Coturnix japonica: one gene and its partner. The protein of the gene in region 1 purifies or fractionates together with the protein of each later gene. This does not show direct contact. Links are inferred from orthologs where the notes say so. Each region holds a gene or a part of one and is shown in the gene's direction. Other genes may lie near its edges.

What was found.
Region 2: the proteins of HIP1R (region 1) and PICALM fractionate together in Homo sapiens (co-fractionation; 3 studies listed by BioGRID and IntAct, with this or other methods). This does not show direct contact. The link is inferred for Coturnix japonica from reciprocal best matches to the Homo sapiens genes HIP1R and PICALM.

The regions. Positions count from the first base shown.
Region 1 is NC_029530.1:4,498,401-4,502,655, reverse strand, and holds the start of HIP1R (huntingtin-interacting protein 1-related protein), read left to right. Parts: upstream 1-1,340; 5' UTR 1,341-1,422; coding exon 1,423-1,515; intron 1,516-4,255. UniProt on the Homo sapiens protein: Component of clathrin-coated pits and vesicles, that may link the endocytic machinery to the actin cytoskeleton. Binds 3-phosphoinositides (via ENTH domain).
Region 2 is NC_029516.1:170,349,790-170,354,087, reverse strand, and holds the start of PICALM (phosphatidylinositol-binding clathrin assembly protein), read left to right. Parts: upstream 1-1,448; 5' UTR 1,449-1,731; coding exon 1,732-1,861; intron 1,862-4,298. UniProt on the Homo sapiens protein: Cytoplasmic adapter protein that plays a critical role in clathrin-mediated endocytosis which is important in processes such as internalization of cell receptors, synaptic transmission or removal of apoptotic cells.

The DNA.
Region 1 (4,255 bases):
ATGCTTGCAACAGGCACCACCTTGTCTGGTTATGTGGACAAAAGGGTAACGAGATACGGTTAAAGCCCAGAAAACCACATGAAATTGAATTGGAACTGGTGACAATGAGGGGAAAACTAACAAAAAAGGCAATCTACCAGGGAAGTGGGTACACAGGGAGGCTTTTGAGCCACATCAGTGCAGTGAGGAGCTGCTGCTGCACTCAGACTGCATGCCCTGTGCTGGCTGCTTCCCCTTTGTGCCCCTGGGAGCAGTGTTAGCTTACAGCCCTGCTCTGCTGCTGGTGCTGCAGCTCAGCATCGCATCCAGTCCAGAGACTCTGTCTTCTTTCAAAAGAAGCTGGGTTTGCTTAGGGCACATTAATGGGGCTCTCAGAGGAAATGGATGCTGAGTAGCCAGAACGGTGTCCCTTCCTTTGCTTTAATACTCCTGTGTGGAGATCTTTCCCTCCAGAGATGGGCTCCAGGCCAAAAGAAGCAGGTTTTGTAGATGGAAAGCAGCGCTGTGACTTGCATCCTGAAACCACTGATGGCTGAATTCAGGAGCAAATCCCTCAAAGTGCTGAGCAGCGCTGACGGAGCACCACGCTGACACAGCACCGCGCTGAGCACACGCTCAGACTACAGGAATCATCTCATTGGCCTCGAGTGAGAAAGAAATGGCACAACCGTACCCGTGTTTTATCTTTATAGGGAGATTGAGTCGGGGAGAGCCCAGGAGCCACATAAAGGGGGAAAGCAACAGGAGAAAGGGGCAGCAAAGCGTGTGCGCTGCTGGTGAGCTGTGGCTCCGGAGGTGGCCAAAGGGCACAGAGATCAAGTGAGACAAACAGGGAAGGTTTTCACTCTATAGCACGCGTTATATCCCTGAGGTCACTGACTGCTCGGTGCTTTGTTCACCTTCTCTCTCTGCTTTTTGGTCAGTCTGCAGAGCTCCTGGCTCTGCTCAGAGCTGCTCGGGGCACGTGGGGGCTTTGAAGGTGGAAGGAGCGGATCACAGAATGACAGAATGACAGAATGACCCGGGTTGGAAGGGACCTCAAGGATCATGTAGTTCCAACCCAATCTCTGGGGTTAATTTACTCTGTCATTAAGTGACTTACAACCCACGTGTGCGTGGAGCTGGGCCGGCTGATTTCTGGAAGCATTACAACCCCCCCCCAGGGAATCACTCCGCTATTGTGCCCTTCCTCCGGAGTTATTATTGAACAAAACAAAGCTGCCGTTCATCTCACCGCGGTGAGGGGGTGGCTGAGCCGAGGGAAGGCGGATCGGAGCGGGCAGCGTCCCCCGGTACCGCGGGGATGGAGCCTGCAGGGGGCGGGCGCTGCCGGCAGGGGGCGCTGCGGAGCGCGGCCGGGAGGAGCCGCGGGCGGCGCCGTGTCGGTGTGTGCCCGGTGTGCGCGGTGCGAGCTGCGCAGCCATGAACAGCATCAAGAGCGTCCCCGCACGGGTCCTGAGCCGGCGGGCCGGGCACAGCCTGGAGGCGGAGAGGGAGCAGTTCGATAAGAACCAGGTGAGGGGGTTGGTGGGGCAGCCCACGGGGCCCGGTGGTGGATGGTACTCGGCCCCGCTGCCCCACGGCGCTGCCCATCCGTCCCCGTCCCGTCGGTTGCCGCATCCGAGCGGCCGGTGACCGGTCGGGGCAGCGAGAGGCCGCGGTGCCGGGTGGGAAGCGGCGATGTTGGGTTCGGGGAGCAGCAGCTGCACGAATAAACCGGCCATTCCGGTTCCTACGGGACGCGGCTCCTCCAGCCGCCCCGTCCCGTCCCTCCGGGCAGCGCCAGGAAGTAACCGCGGTGCGGGGAGGCCCCTCTGTCCGTCCGTCCGTCCGTCCGTCCTGGCTTTACTTCTCCCGAAGCAGCAGAGCCGCGTTATGGGGCCACGGTGTCCTAAAAGAGCTCCGTGCTAAGCGGAACCTTCCCAGCGCTGCCGTGTGGTATCGCTGCCCCGCACTGAGCCGGTGTTTGCAGTATAGAGTGAGCTTTGATCTGAACCATTCGATGGCTGTGATGTGATTTGCCTCCAAATGCTTTTTGGGGTCACATTGCGGTGTCAGCATCTGCCCTGCAGGTGAGGAGGCCCCGCTGTGCTCTGCAGTGTCATTAGAGGCAAAACTTGTGCTTTTGGTGCCCAACTTTTGCTTTTCTTGGCTACTTCTACCAGAAGGGTTGGGGTTGTGTCTGCTGGAGCGTTCAGACCCAACGTGCTCAGCATCCTCCAGGCATACAGCACACATGGATGCTGAGCGGTGCACTTGTGGTCCAGCTGTGGAGTCCTCAGATCAAAAGAGACCCAGATTTGCTGTTGTGCATTTGGAGCAGGGCCCCAAAACTGATCCCAGGGCTGGAGCACCTCCTGGGGCCGGGGGGAGCCGTGGGCGGAGAGGATGGTGCTGTAATTAAAGCAGCCTGGAAAGGAGGGGTGGATGTAACCCGCACTCCTTCCTTTGGACGCTTTGATCCAGGTTTCGTCACCGGCTCGGTACGCTGGGGCTGTGAGTAAGGTGCTCAGGGCTGCACCCGTGGTGGTTTTGTAACCCGCAGGTTTCGGGGTCTGACCTGCAGCCATCAGCACTGGGGTGGTGCTGGGGAAACCATCTGCAGCTGCGTGAAGGTTTCGGCCTGGTTGGTGGTGCTCAACACCTGGATGTCCCCATCTCTGACCTGTTTTTGGGGGGATCCTCTTGCCTTGGGGTTTGGATGCTGGCATTGGTTTGGTGCCACCCAGATCAGTGGGACTCATGTTGGATATGACACCTCCCACTGTGGATGTGAAGTGGCTCAGATCAAACCTCAGCACTGAATCACCCCCTAGGAAGGCACCCTCTGGAGCTTCTGGGCTGTGTTTTGGCTGGGCAGGTTCACGGGCAATAAACACAATGAAATCCCAATGGGGATCGTAGGTTTTGGGGCAGGTCCCAGTCTGTGGTGCTGAGCAGTGAGGATGTGGGATGGGGTTTGCTCTGCCCCGGCCCCATGGGGCTCCCACTGGTGATTTGGGATGAATTCTCTGTTGCTGCCGTGCCCAGCAGATGGCTCAGCCCTGCTGCCCCTCGTGCCAGTGCCTTTTTCCAGGCACTTCAGTCTCATTAACCTTCAAGTTAAGAGGATTACGCCAAGTCAATGGGGCTTAACTCCACTGCTGCTATACTGACCCACATGGCAGGGTAACGCCAGGGCTTCCCCCAGTGCATGAGAAGCAAAATCACCACCTGCTGCCACAGGGGATGCAGTGCCATGTGGGGCACCACCACCTCCATTTAACTCCTTGTGCTGGGAAGCAGTGACATGAACTGAGCCTGTATCCGAGTCCTGGGGCTGCTCACCCCAAAACGCTGCTGGGGACGAAGATCCACATGTTGGACCAGCTCTATATGGCAGGTTCCTGCTCCTGGCTGGCACTCAGTGGCGCTGTGCTGCTTTGGGTTCCTCCTGCCCTATTGACACAAAGCCGGTGCCCTGTGTGCTGCTCGTAGCTCAGGCTCCATGAGGTTTTACAGCCTGTGTGCAGGGAGGGACTGTGTTTTTCTTCCGGCACGAGCACCGGCAGCCTGGCTGCTTCCTGCCCTTCTGGCCCAATGCTTTTTGCTGCACAAAGGGCTCACAGCTGTGGGCACAGCCCCAGCGCTTGTGCAAAGGTGAAGAAGTGAAGGGAGGTCCTCGTGGTCTCAGCAGCTCAGATTTAGAGCTGGGAGTAGCAGCCAGGCCCTATTTTTGGTATAAAAACCTTCATTTTAGGGTGCAATTCAGTACATCAGTATACAGGTAATCCTCTTGATAAAGGCACTCCCCTGTGAACCGCTCTGCTCTGGGTTGTGGCATCGCAGCTGCTGCTCCCTCTGGGGGGCTGTTTTCCCTTCCCATTTCTCTGTTCTCACGCAGGGACGCCTTCAAAGCTGTGTAAAAACACCCCAGTTCAAAGGCTCCTTGTGATTGCACAAACAGCCCAGGAATGTGGCATCGCACTGTGCGTTGCCGCCGGCAGGGCACATTGCTGAGCTCAGGCTGCAAAGTGCCACTTGTTCAATGGGACAGAGGGGACATCCAGGGCTCTGAGGGCAGCCCGGCCCCGGCTGCTTTGTTCTGCATCAAAAAGCCTAATTCTGCAGTCCCAAACATTTGCCAAATGGAAAATGCAGAACGTTTTCCAAAAGCCCCCCAGCACTCGGGTTGCTCCCAGCTGGCAGTGCTGGGATGGAGGGGAGGAGGGTCCCAGGGGTCACAGTGCTGCTGACACCACTGTCCTCCTCCCGC
Region 2 (4,298 bases), on another chromosome or scaffold:
CAACCTCCCTGGGCAGCCTAAGCACTCTCCTAAGTGAAGAAAAACTTACTCATCCTCCTCAGGGCCCTGGGAGGCACCTGAGGGAACGGCTTGGCTAACTTTTATGGAACGTGAAGCAACTTGGCACCAAAAATCCCTTAAGTCAAGGGCAGAGCAGCTGGGTAAATCCCAGAGCCCAGAGCAGCATTAAGCTGAAGAGTAAAACGGAGGGAGGCTGATCGTTGAAAGACCTGAATAAAAACACTGTCACAGAATCACAGGATCACAGAATGACCCGGGTTGGAAGGGATCTCAAGGATCATGTAGTTCCAACCCCCAACTGTCATTCACTTAAGAAGTCAATTTGAGAGCTTTCAAGCGTCACTCTGCTGACCCCACAGCGGATCTATATCTATCTCCTCACAGATACGACCCAAAGCTGGTGGCCGTCCCTCCCTCCTGAGGGCAGCAGCCCCCAACCGCCACACCCGCGCTGAGGGCAGCCAGAACCACGTGACCCTTGACAGGCTGGAAAGCTGGGCTCAGGTGAACCTAATGAGGTTCAACATGGCAAAGTGCAAGGTTTTGCACTTGGGCTGGAAGAACCCCAGGCACCTGTACAGGCTGGGAGGAGTGGTCCTTGAGAGCAGCTCGGCAGAGAAGGACCTGGGGGTCCTGATGGATGAAAGACTCAACATGAGCCAGCAGTGTGCTCTGGCAGCCTGGAAAGCAAATGGGATCCTGGGCTCCATCAGGAGAGGGGTGGTCAGCAGGGATAGGGAGGTGATTGTCCCTCTCTACTCGGCTCTTGTGAGGCCCCATCTGTTGTACTGTGTCCAGGTGTGGAGCCCTCAGTACAAAAAAGACATGGAGATTTTGGAAAGGGTCCAGAGGAGGGACAGGAAGATGATCAGGGGGCTGGAGCACCTCCCCTATGAGAACAGGCTGAGGGAGTTGGGTTTGTTCAGCCTAGAGAAGAGAAGGTTGCGGGGTGACCTCATTGCAGCCTTTCAATACCTGAAGGGAACTTACTCCCAGGAGGGGAGTAAACTCTTTGAAAGGGCTGATAATAGCAGGACTAGGGGAAATGGTTTTAAGTTAAAAGAGGGAAGATTTAGGTTGGATGTTAGGGGGAAGTTCTTCACTAGGAGAGTGGTTAGGCCCTGGAACAGGCTGCCCAGGGAGGTTGTGGATGCCCCGTCCTTGGAGGTGTTTAAGACCAGGTTGGACGGGGCCCTGGGCAACCTGATGTAGTAAAGGTGTATGTTTGGTGGCCCTGCCAGGCAGGGGGGTTGGAACTACATGATCCTTGAGGTCCCTTCCAACCCGGGTCATTCTGTGATTCTGTGACCGACCGGGTCTCGTCCGCAGTAGGGAAAGAGAAGAGGGGGGGGGGGATTGGGGCGTGTCACGTAGGCGGGGCGCCGGGGATTCACGTGATGCGGAGCGCCCGGAAAGCTCCGAGGAGGAGCCGCGCTGCCGCCATTTTCCTGCGGCTCCCAGTGTGTGTCCCCTGTCCCCGGCCGAGCGGAAGGAGCGAGGGGGAGGGGACGGCGGCGGCTGGGGGAGGGGGGTGGGAGGAGGAGGAGGGGTCCCTGCTCGGGTGACAGGTCCGTCCCTGAGGGCGGAGCGGGGGCCGCCTGAGGCGCGGCGGGGCCAGGAATCCGTTCGGTTCCATCCCCCGGCTTTTAGTCCTCCCGTCCCGGCCCCTGAGGAAGGAGCGGAGCCTCGCTCTCTTCCACCACCACCGCCATGTCCGGCCAAAGCCTCACCGACCGCATCACGGCGGCTCAGCACAGCGTGACCGGCTCGGCGGTCTCTAAAACCGTCTGCAAGGCCACGACACACGAGGTTATGGGGCCCAAGAAGAAGCACCTGGACTGTGAGTACTCGAAGGGTGACGGCGGCCGGGCTCTCCCTGTGTTCCCTTCCGAGCTGAGCCCACCCGGAGCCCCGAGGAACCGAGCCGGGTTGCGGGGCTGCCTCAAGGGAACGTGGAGCGGTGTAGGACGGGCTGGTTGAGGGGGTGGGGGTGGGTGGGAGCGGGGACGTGGCGATGGAGAGGCTGGGAGAGGCTGATTGCCGTGCGTGTGCCCTCCAGGAGAGGCCTCCGATCGGCTTTTCTTTATGCACAGGGCAATGTGAGCTTCTGAAGGGCAGCTCTTGCCGCGTTCCTCTTCTTTAGAGGATCGAGGGGTTTGAGGAGAGGAATGGGGTGTTATTTCCTCACCTATTCGTCTCGTTGGTCTCTTGTTAGAGCAGCATTCCCACGTCCTGTAGAGGAGGTGTGGGAGTTTCAAGTTGGTCACTTATTTCTCTCCCAGGATGTCTACTAGGAAAAAAAAAACCCAATGCTTTCCCATCGTGTTGCTCCGTGTATTCTTCTGTGTGAGATGAGCGCTCGAAGGACTAATCTCTCTCTTATCCTTTCTAGTCTGTGTCGGTAGCAGGGGGTATATGGGCCTAAGGGAGTTTCTTTAGACCTTCAACACCTGAGCTTAACATCCCGTACAGCTCCTATTAAAATTAGATCCAAAGTGGGAAGTCTTAAAAGGTTTTCTCCCAGTTTCACCCAGTTGATTATGATGAGCACAGAAGTTCGTATTAGTGCGTGTTCCATTAAGCTGTGAGGTCATAGGACTAAGGATGCACTTCACTTGGGTACTTGAGTGTATCACATCCGTTTATTCTAGATCTGCCCTCCTTCATCTGTAAAGAAAGATGCTGGAGAGGAACCTGTGGCTGTGCCTTCGGTGTTAGTGCTTCGTCCTTTCCTCCCACCCACGTTTGTGAGAAGGCAGAGTCTTTGTGCATCTTGAATTCATGCCTCCTCACTATGTCCGAATGACAAGACCAGCTGATAGTACTAGTATACTGCAGTTACTGCTTTTATTGTCCATCGAAACGTGTCTGACTTGCAGCGTAAAGAAACTCTTGGTTTATGAATACCTGAGAGAGATGCAGACCATTTATGGAGTAGCCATGGAACAGCTGCCCTGTTTCTTGCTGCTATTCTTTCATCTTTTGCCTTGAGATGGTGTAGAAAATGATTGTATGCAAGATGGTTTTTGTTGTCTGTTGTTGTATTCTGTTTTGGTCAGCTAGGGAAATCTAGGGTGGGTTGCAGCTAATTTCAGTCTCAGGTAAAGAAAGCACCTTGTCATATGGCTGATGTATGAAGCTGTGATGTTACTGAGTTTCTCACAACAGAAGGGGAGACTTAATACAAAACCTTTGCTTGGGGTAGTAGAAAAAACATAGTTCCAGGACTATCAAACTGACCCATCAACTGCTCTTTGGAGTTGTGTGTGTGTTTATTCAAGGGTGCTATTCTGAATATGTTTGCTGGGAGAGGTCCTAATCAAGACCTGTAGAATACTGTTCTGAAAGGATGCTTGCTATATTAGATCTTGTCAGAAAGCTGCTGGGTCGTTGCTGGATGAGAGGATTGCTTCTTTATTTCCTGTCTACTCTGGACTTAGAAAGAGGCTGGAACTGGGACTCTCAGATGATTCTTTTTTCAGAGCAATGTGAACTTCTTTTCCATTAGCTTTCCCTACTATCACTACTTTTCCAACCAGTAAAAATAGATCCTGAGAAGATCAAGTTTTGTCTGCTGCCTCTAATAAGTTCCTTGGGAACCTCTAGTCCTGCCATCAGGAAATGACACGGTTCCATATTTTGGAAGCCTTCTTTGTTCATACTGTTTATGGCTGAATGTTTAAAAATAAATGCCTTTCTTTTTTTTTACTGCTGAAGCTGTGATTCAAGCCCCACCTCTAAGTTATGTGCACATACTTTTATTAATAGTTTAATTCTTTTAACTGCTAAATACATCCAAAACGCTGACCTGTCACTGTGAATAACAGTGTACCGCTCTCCCATGGGCAGCGTCCCTCTTGAATATTTAAAAATATATTTTAATTTTTTAAAGCTTGGTTTCCTAAAGGCTTTCTCTAGACTTCAGACAAGTGAATGAGCTACGTTTTCTAGAGTTAAGCCTTACTTTTGTAGTGTTTTGTGGTCGTTGCATATTCTTCTTGATGTGGTATATGCATTACTTATGCAAACTTCTAATTCTGTGACTGTCCTATTTCTGAAACTTTCTTGTTTAAGCTTGAGCTGTTGTGAGCACATTGAAGTTGCCCAGCCTTGCACTAACCCGTATAACTGGGGAAAATGCAAAATAAATCCCTTTACGTGTGATCATCCCAACTCTTATTTAGCTTGTTCTTGATGGCCTATGGAGTTCCAAAACTAAAGGGCTTTCCTTACTGTATTTGTATGTTCCCTCAGTGACTGCTGCCTTAGCAGCTACA